2 linked regions of the Callithrix jacchus genome follow. The protein of the gene in region 2 purifies or fractionates together with the protein of the main gene of each other region. This does not show direct contact. Links are inferred from orthologs where the notes say so. Each region holds a gene or a part of one and is shown on either strand. Other genes may lie near its edges. The genes, in order: YIPF3 and SLC22A5.

Region 1 (3,913 bases), on a different chromosome or scaffold from region 2:
TTGCCTGGTCGCCCCACCCTCTGCCCTGGTGCTTCACCCGGCTCTCCAGACATGCCACCCTCTATTCACCTGGGGGAAGTTGACCATCTTGATAGGGATCATGGACTCCAGAAGCCTGAGAGAGGAGAGGAGAGATGAAAGCAGAGACAGCACTAGGCCATGAAGTTCTGGAGGGCAAGGCCTGAATCTTACTCATCTCTAACTCCAGGGATTGGGGCCTGGCCTAGAGGACATGTTAGATGACAGGGGAGAACAGGGTAGTAAAGATATACAGGGAATGAGGAAATCATTTCCTTGCCCCTAAAATTACTTCCAGGAAGGTTAACCCTCTGAAACTTAGCTGACTGAAACAGCAGCTATGTGCAGAACTCAGCCCTGCTGGGCCTTCAGAGAGGGCCTGACCATGTATCTGTCACCCCGTCTCCCCTTGAAAAGACAGGCAGACCTCAGCAGAGAGTACCCAGAGTATTAGACTGTAATGGGGAAGCCCTAGAAAAGGTCTAGTCAGCTAGATGGAAGGTTTAGAATGAAAGGTGTTACTGAGGGAACAGTAAGAGTGCCTCCAGGCACTGTCGAGCATTTTCTTGAAAAACATATGTGGAGTAGTAAGAAAATTCAGTCACCGCTCCCCACCCCCGTCCCTGCCAAGGTGGCTAGCTCCTAATCATACCTTGGATTTTAGCTAGATTTTACTTCCTTTGGGAAACCTGCCCCGTCCCACCCACCAACCTGCTATGGCTCACATATCGATCCCGTGTACCCCATCATAGCATGAGGACTGTACTATAACTGTACTCAAGAGCAAGGCTCCCATCCATCTTCACCACCGAACCGGATACAATTAGCATAGGGTCTGCCACAGAGCAAATGCTTAATAAATACTTGCTGAGTGGTCCTGGGTATTTGCTTAGCACTGATTAAAGGATGAACAACAACAAACAAAACAAGCCAGGATTATATCTAGTTCTTGAAAAGTCACTCAAAAACTATGCCCTGATATTCTGGTTCAGAGACTGTTCTGGTGCTGGGAATAAAAAGATAAACAAGATAGAGCCTGCTCTGGGGGGAAAATTCCAGCAATATGAAAGGATGGCAGTGCTGAAGTGCTGTCTGTTGGAGGCAAGTGTTCTATAGGAATACCAGGAGAGAACAAACTGGGGATGGGATTGAGGAATGTGGAATAGGGGAAGTGACATCTGAGGTAGGTTTTGAGGGAAGATGAGTAGTCGGCTAGATGGAAAAGAGGAGGAAGGCGCTGTGTTATGATTATTTGTGTTCAATGACAGGTGCAGTGATGAGAGGTGATGAGGTCACGAAGAGGGGGAGCCCACCAGAGCACAGGGCTTGTAGAGTGCATGAAGGAGTAGGTATTAGGAGGGAAGCTTCTTCAAGAGAAGGCTCCTCACCTGCTTCGCACCTGGGCAGGCTCCACATCAAAGTAGGGTCTCAGGATGTCGATGTTGGCATACAAGCTGAAGGCCCTGGAGGCTTGTCTCTTCCCAGCCTGCCACATCTGAAGGAAGATGGGCATAGGTATTGTGGAACTCTTGGCATTAGACCCTGTTGCCTATTTTCCATTTGATTTCTACCAGGACAACCTGGGGCGACACACCAATACCAACTCCAGGACATGGGACACACCTAGGTTTACTTTTCCACCTGCAGGGGATTCCATCTTGCTTACCTGATCAGCCACCTGCCGGCTCAGCTGTCCCTTAAAGCCCTTCATGCCCAGGAACTCTCCATCCTCTTCTTCAGCAGCAGCCGCATCAGCGTCTGCATCAGCGTCTACTTCTTCCTCGCGCAGGCGCTGATGCAGTTCACCCATATCCTCGAAGCTAGAGCCTGAGGTATCATCCATGTTCTCCATGTCAATCACAGCTGAGCCTCCGCCCTGTTAAGACAATGGCTCCTAGAGTGCAGGACTTTTCTGTTCCATCCATTAAGTCCTCTGCTCATCCCAGGGCTTAGGGCTTTGTTCTTCCACTGCTGAGGATACGGCTTGGAATCACTACAGATCATGCCACTCCATTCCCCCTCATTTGCTCTCAGAACGCTTGATTTATAGCTTTGGCTATCTTTTCTAGCCTGGGAAACCAACTAGTCTTCCATTCATGTCTTTCTCCTACCTTACCTATCAAAGACTAAAAGCTTGAAAAAGAATCCATTTCTGTCTTTCCAAAGCCCCAAACAAAACTATGAACACAGTATGTTTTCGGCGAGTGCCAGTGAATCCCACCCAACCCCACTCCAGGCCTGACCCCAACCAACCTCCTAACTTGTTCCAAGAATACGTTCTTCCTAACGCCTCGGGCGGGCCCAGAGACCCGAGATCCTCAGGCTGGAGTAGTAGACTAGTCTGGCCCTTTCAGGTCAATGTTAACTCCACTGACTTTTGTGTGCAAGACCCAAAGAAGGCAGTTTTGCAAATGGAGTGAACTTCCAGGCCCCGAGGGAGAATCCCCAAGACACTTCTGGACATCGCCGGCCCTCGGGTTGCTGGCATCTGGTGCCTTGGGGCCATTACCTGGATGTTTTCTTCGAACCCTCCCCATTCCGGGCCAGCTCCGTTTCGGGCGCCGCCCGTCGGCGCCGCTGTAGTTGCCATGCCCTTTGAGGGCTCCCGTCGCTGAAGCCCGCGATAGCCCCGCGCGCAGGGAAGTGTGCGAGATGTGAGTCCCAAGAAGGGAGAGGTCCCAGGTCGCGGAGAGGTGGGATCAGCCGGAACACAAAAAGGAGAAACCCGGATGTTTGGACAAAACCAACTTCCGGAAATTGGGGACGTGGATGAAGGTGGAGCAAAGTCTCGCGATATTTAAGATTCCAGGAGGCGGTGCGTTGCCACGGAGATGGAGCAGTGCTGCTAGAACGCACGCGCCAGCTAGAGCCTGTAGTCTTTTGGAGAGATTGAACATGGCGGCTACTCAGGCCGTGGAAGAAATGCGGAGCCGCGTGGTTCTAGGAGAGTTTGGGGTTCGCAATGTAAGACTTGTGTCCTTGAGCTCAGGCGGGAGGAATGAGAGCGGAACAGGGATGGGTCTTGGGATTGGCGTGGGGATAGCCGTAGGCTCACTGTCCATTTGTGGACAAACTCATCCCTTTGCTCTAGGTCCATACCACTGACTTTCCCGGTAACTATTCCGGTTATGATGATGCCTGGGACCAGGAACGCTTCGAGAAGGTCAGTGGGGCCAGAGTTGTCCGGGGATTGTTAGGAGGGCCAGACCCTGTGGTCTCAGCAGCATGTGTCTGTCTCAGTAGCTGCTCTTGGGGGTCGCTCCGTTTGTAAGTTTTGTTGAGCAATGTGGTAGACCTCCGTTTACAGGCCAAGTTAGACACAGTTTCTACCCAGTTCTGCAAACAAGATGTTCAGTCTTGTTGAGGAATGGTGCGTATAAACAAGTGAATCTAGTTTAATATGGTAAAGGTGGTTGATAGCTGTGAAGATGGCAGGATTCGTGTGGGGAACATTATGCTGAGACCAGGAAGAGGGGCCCAGAGGTACTTAACATTTCTTGAGGAGGGAAGATCTGAATTGAGCTTTGAACGGTAAGTAAAGAACAGGAGTTAAATTAGGAAGGCTTTGAGTTTCAGGTCAGTGAAGTTGAGGATATACAGGTTTTGTGTGTATTTAGTCTATTATTGTTTCACTTAGCTTAAAATAAGGATTAAAATTGCATTTAAATAGATCACTGAATGTTACTGTTTATGCAACTGAACTGTGTGTGCAGTTTATAAAACATGATCTATAAATCTGTGCTTGGGAAAATTTTACTTTTTTTAACCTGTTGATACAGGAATAAAGTATGAACAATGAAAAAGGCTAATGCTTGAAAAAAAGTTATGGTGTGAATTGTGCTCCGGGAATGTCCAAGCAGTTCTGGCACTAGTGGTAGGCAAGATTGAAGTGTGT
Region 2 (3,913 bases):
GACCCCCTGGCACAGCTGGCCTTTGGGAGCTCATCAATGCCACCACCACTCATTCCAACATGGGGTGGGGGCAGCAAAGCAAGAACAAATGACTAAGTAAGGCCTCAAGGGTCAATGTAAAACTCCAAGAGATGCTATGAGCTTCTTCTCACTTTACTACCTCCCTCTGCTTTAGGCAGCCCCAAGTAGAATTTGTAGGGATTCCTATATCATGTTCCCCTCTTTGTCCTCTGCCTGCAACCCCAGGGACAGCCTCTGCTTTCACAGTACTCACTGGCTTCTAGGAAGGTAACAGACCCAACCTGTGAGGCTAGGACTCAGGATTTATGGCAACTGAAGGTTCCAATTCTCTGTGGATTCATGGGCCTGAAAGCACAGTTGGCTACCTCCAGTGAGTGCCTCTTTTGTCAAGTCATGAAGCTTCTGATCACTGAGGCTATGTCGCTAGCTAAGAAATCTCAGTGGGGCTCAGGTCACACTCCCACTAAATACATGTGGAGAAAGCAGGTCCAGGTGCTGGGGACATCAAACTTCCAAACAGAAAAAACATGCGCATGCACACACACTCAAGTCTCCCAGGGTAGCTCTCAGACTCCCTTGAAGGGTGATGACGTCAAGAAGCAACACAGTTGAGACCTCCAGAGCCCCTGTAAGCCCTTCTGAGGCTCCAGGAGAGAGGCTCAGCACCCACATCCAGCAGGGTGTGAAGCCGTGCCAAGGCCTATAGCACTCTCCCTCTCTATGAACTCTCCCCTCTCTGTAAACTCTGCCCTCCTACTATGTGGTTTTTGTTGTTGCATCTAGACCTTCAGCTTACTATTCTGCTGAGCTGAACACCTTAGACTCGCTGAGAGGCCTCCTCCTCCCGGAAGCCTTCTCTGACCTGTGAATTCCTTATCTGCACATTCAGTGATCCCATCTATCAAAGAGGGCTCTTCACTGGCTGCTTATTCAATGCTGCTAAAACTTCAGGGAGCTAGAGTGCCAGTGTCTGAGAAAGACACAAAACACATGCGTCATTAACATCATGTTCTTACATCCAGCTCCAACAACTGCTCCAACAGGTTCGGAGGGGACAAAACCACCCAGAAGGAAAATCCAAGGGGCTGAGAAATGAGAAAGGTTCCCCGACTCTCTGTGACCTAAGATTGTATACTTTAACTAAGTCTGGCCAACAGCCTTGCCTCAGAATACCTTAGAAAACATTCCAGGTCACCAAGTTACCCTGAACAGATCTTCAGATGAATGGATCTTAAATGACAACTGACCATGGGAAAAGGCAAACACAGGGCATGACCAGACTGTCATTTTGGGTTGTGGAGACGATAGGGGAAAGAGTAATTAGAGGAAATCGGGAAGAGGCAGCTTTATACACATGCTTTATTTTCCAGCACTTTGGGAGGCCGAGGCGGGTGGATCACGAGGTCAACAGATCGAGACCATCCTGGTCAACATGGTGAAACCCCGTCTCTACTAAAAATACAAAAAATTAGCTGGGCACGGTGGCGCGTGCCTGTAATCCCAGCTACTCAGGAGGCTGAGGCAGGAGAATTGCCTGAACCCAGGAGGCGGAGGTTGCGGTGAACCAAGATCATGCCATTGCACTCCAACCTGGGTAACAAGAGCGAAACTCCGTCTCAAAAAAAAAAAAAGTTCAGGAAAGAGAAGTATTTCCTCTCTTCTAAAAAGAAGCCAAGAGACTAGAGGAAAAACGGGATAGCCCCTGACCCAAGCCCTGGCTGTGCTCCTCACCACCCCCAACCCCAACTAGAGGAAGTCCTGGACACTCATGGCCATAGGGCATCTTCCACGGACCGCCAGGACCTTCCTAGTACCCTCTTCAAAGTGGCCATCAGGATGGGAGGCCAGGCTGACAATCTGCTGTGAGGAGCACACTCTGGCTGGAGGTCCCCTCGAAAAGCGTTCCCAAGCCACCTGGCTGGTGGGTCTCCATCACTAGGGTGTTGACTGTGGGGGAGGGGGAGTGGCGGCGTCCAGCGTGCATCTGGGAGAGAGGAGCTCGGGTTCAAGGGCCGGACGATCCCCTCCGTGCCCCAGTCTCAGCCCGGGCGGGGGCTGGCACCCACCTCGGTCACGATGGTGGACAGGTAGACGTCCTGGCTGAACTCCCAGCCATCCAGGCAGCTCTCCAGCTCCAGCTGCCCCAGGTCCACGTCGCGCCCCGGCTCCAGCCCGAGCGCCGAGAAGTTGGCGATGGTGGCGAGCCGGTAGCGGCGGCAGCTGTGGGGCACCTCGCGGCCGTCCTGCAGCCGCAGCGGGACACTGTGGTTGCGCCAGGCGCTGCTCAGGTTAGCGGCGTCCGGCACCCGGCAGCGGTGCGCCGGGGTCCCTATCAGGAACACGGAGGACAGGCCGGTGAAGCCATTGGGGATGATGCTGGCGCTGAGCAGGAAGAAGATGAGGCGCTGGAAGGGCCCCCACTCGCCCAGGAAGGCGGTCACCTCGTCGTAGTCCCGCATGCCGCCCTCTGCGGCCCACAGCTCGCGGCCCGGGGTCTGAGGACGCGGCGGGTTTTGCGCGTGCGCGCGGGGCACACGCCGCCGACCAGGCGAGCCAAGCAGCTAGCGACCGGATACCGTCCGCCGAGGGTAGGCTTGTGAGCTGATACCGCCGCTGCGGTCCTGCCTTACATGGGGCGCTCTGCCAGGGAGGGTTCCGGGCCTGGGCGGTAAGGCCCGCCCTGCCGGCAGGCAGTGTGGGGCTGGCGAGGGCGGAGCTGGGGCGGGACGTAAGGGCGCGGGGCGGGCCGGGTGCACTTGAGGCCCAGGCGGGGTCTGTCCCGGGGGCCTGGCGGCGGCCCGGCCTCCACCAGCCAAGGCAGTAAGGGTTGACCGAGATAGCCCGGGCTCGGCTTAGGAAGGCAGCGAGACTCGCGGTCTTGGGGTGCGAGTCCGAACTCGTTCCTCCAGCGCGGGGTCGGGAGTGAGTGGGAGAGCGGCCGCGAGGCTCCAGTGCTGAAAACGCACCTCTCCCAGCTTTCGGCGAGGCCTACGCGGGGTGGGGGTGGGGACGGGGAGAAAGTGACTGGTCTAGGCTCTCACAGATAGTTGCTGTTGACACCACCTATCCTTATAAGGGGAACTGGGACTGTTAACTGCCCCACTAGAGAGGCTTGGAGCTATGACTTTTCATTCTAGTCCAGATGCCCTTTCTATATTTTCGTCGGTAACAAGCCATTTTATTTATGCCGATATGAAAATTTAACATCACGATTAATGATCCTAGCCTAAGGTTAAATATTCTCCACAGGTTAGTTATTTCTGCGAAGAGTTTGTTCGGGAACTAATAGGAACAACAACAAAAAGCAGCGAGGTGATTCTAAAGCAGCAATGTTCAATAGGATAAGGAGCTATATTTGTTGTTAATTTTTCTACTAGCCATATTAATAAAATTTTCAGATTTAGCAAATAAAAATATAGGACTCCTACTGAAATTCGAATTTCAGATATAGAATGAATAATTTTTAAATATTATGTCCCATGAAGGAATATATAAAATGAAAATGTAACTGGTTGTCTTGTATTTTATCTGGCAATGCTGCATATTTAAAAAGTAAAAGTAAAGGATGAAATTAACTTTAATAGTATATTTAATCAATATATCCAGAACATAATTTCATCATATAATCAATGTAGAAATTATTGATCTTTTACATTGATATATAAGAATCATTGATCTTTTATTTCCTCCCCTTACTAAATCTTAAGAATTCAGTGTGTTTCACATGTTCTCAGGATTTGAAAAAAAGAATCCGGTATGCACTTTACAGCACCTTTAAATTTGGACTAGCCACAATTTTGTTTTTTAATATTTATTCATTTATTTATTGGAGACATGGCCCCACTCTGTTGCCCAGGCTAGAGTGCAATGACACAATCATAGCTCACTGCAG

The links.
Region 1: the proteins of SLC22A5 (region 2) and YIPF3 purify together in Homo sapiens (co-immunoprecipitation; 3 studies listed by BioGRID and IntAct, counting the BioPlex papers as one, with this or other methods). This does not show direct contact. The link is inferred for Callithrix jacchus from reciprocal best matches to the Homo sapiens genes SLC22A5 and YIPF3.

The regions. Positions count from the first base shown.
Region 1 is NC_133505.1:51,997,052-52,000,964, forward strand, and holds the start of YIPF3 (protein YIPF3), read right to left. Parts: upstream 2,731-3,913; 5' UTR 2,609-2,730; coding exon 2,528-2,608; intron 1,990-2,527; exon of another isoform or gene 1,895-1,989; coding exon 1,685-1,894; intron 1,514-1,684; coding exon 1,407-1,513; intron 116-1,406; coding exon 70-115; intron 1-69. Other genes in the region: POLR1C (DNA-directed RNA polymerases I and III subunit RPAC1), read left to right, coding at 2,914-2,982, 3,110-3,181. UniProt on the Homo sapiens protein: Involved in the maintenance of the Golgi structure. May play a role in hematopoiesis.
Region 2 is NC_133503.1:76,088,192-76,092,104, forward strand, and holds the start of SLC22A5 (organic cation/carnitine transporter 2), read right to left. Parts: upstream 2,667-3,913; 5' UTR 2,481-2,666; coding exon 2,088-2,480; intron 1-2,087. UniProt on the Homo sapiens protein: Sodium-ion dependent, high affinity carnitine transporter. Involved in the active cellular uptake of carnitine. Transports one sodium ion with one molecule of carnitine.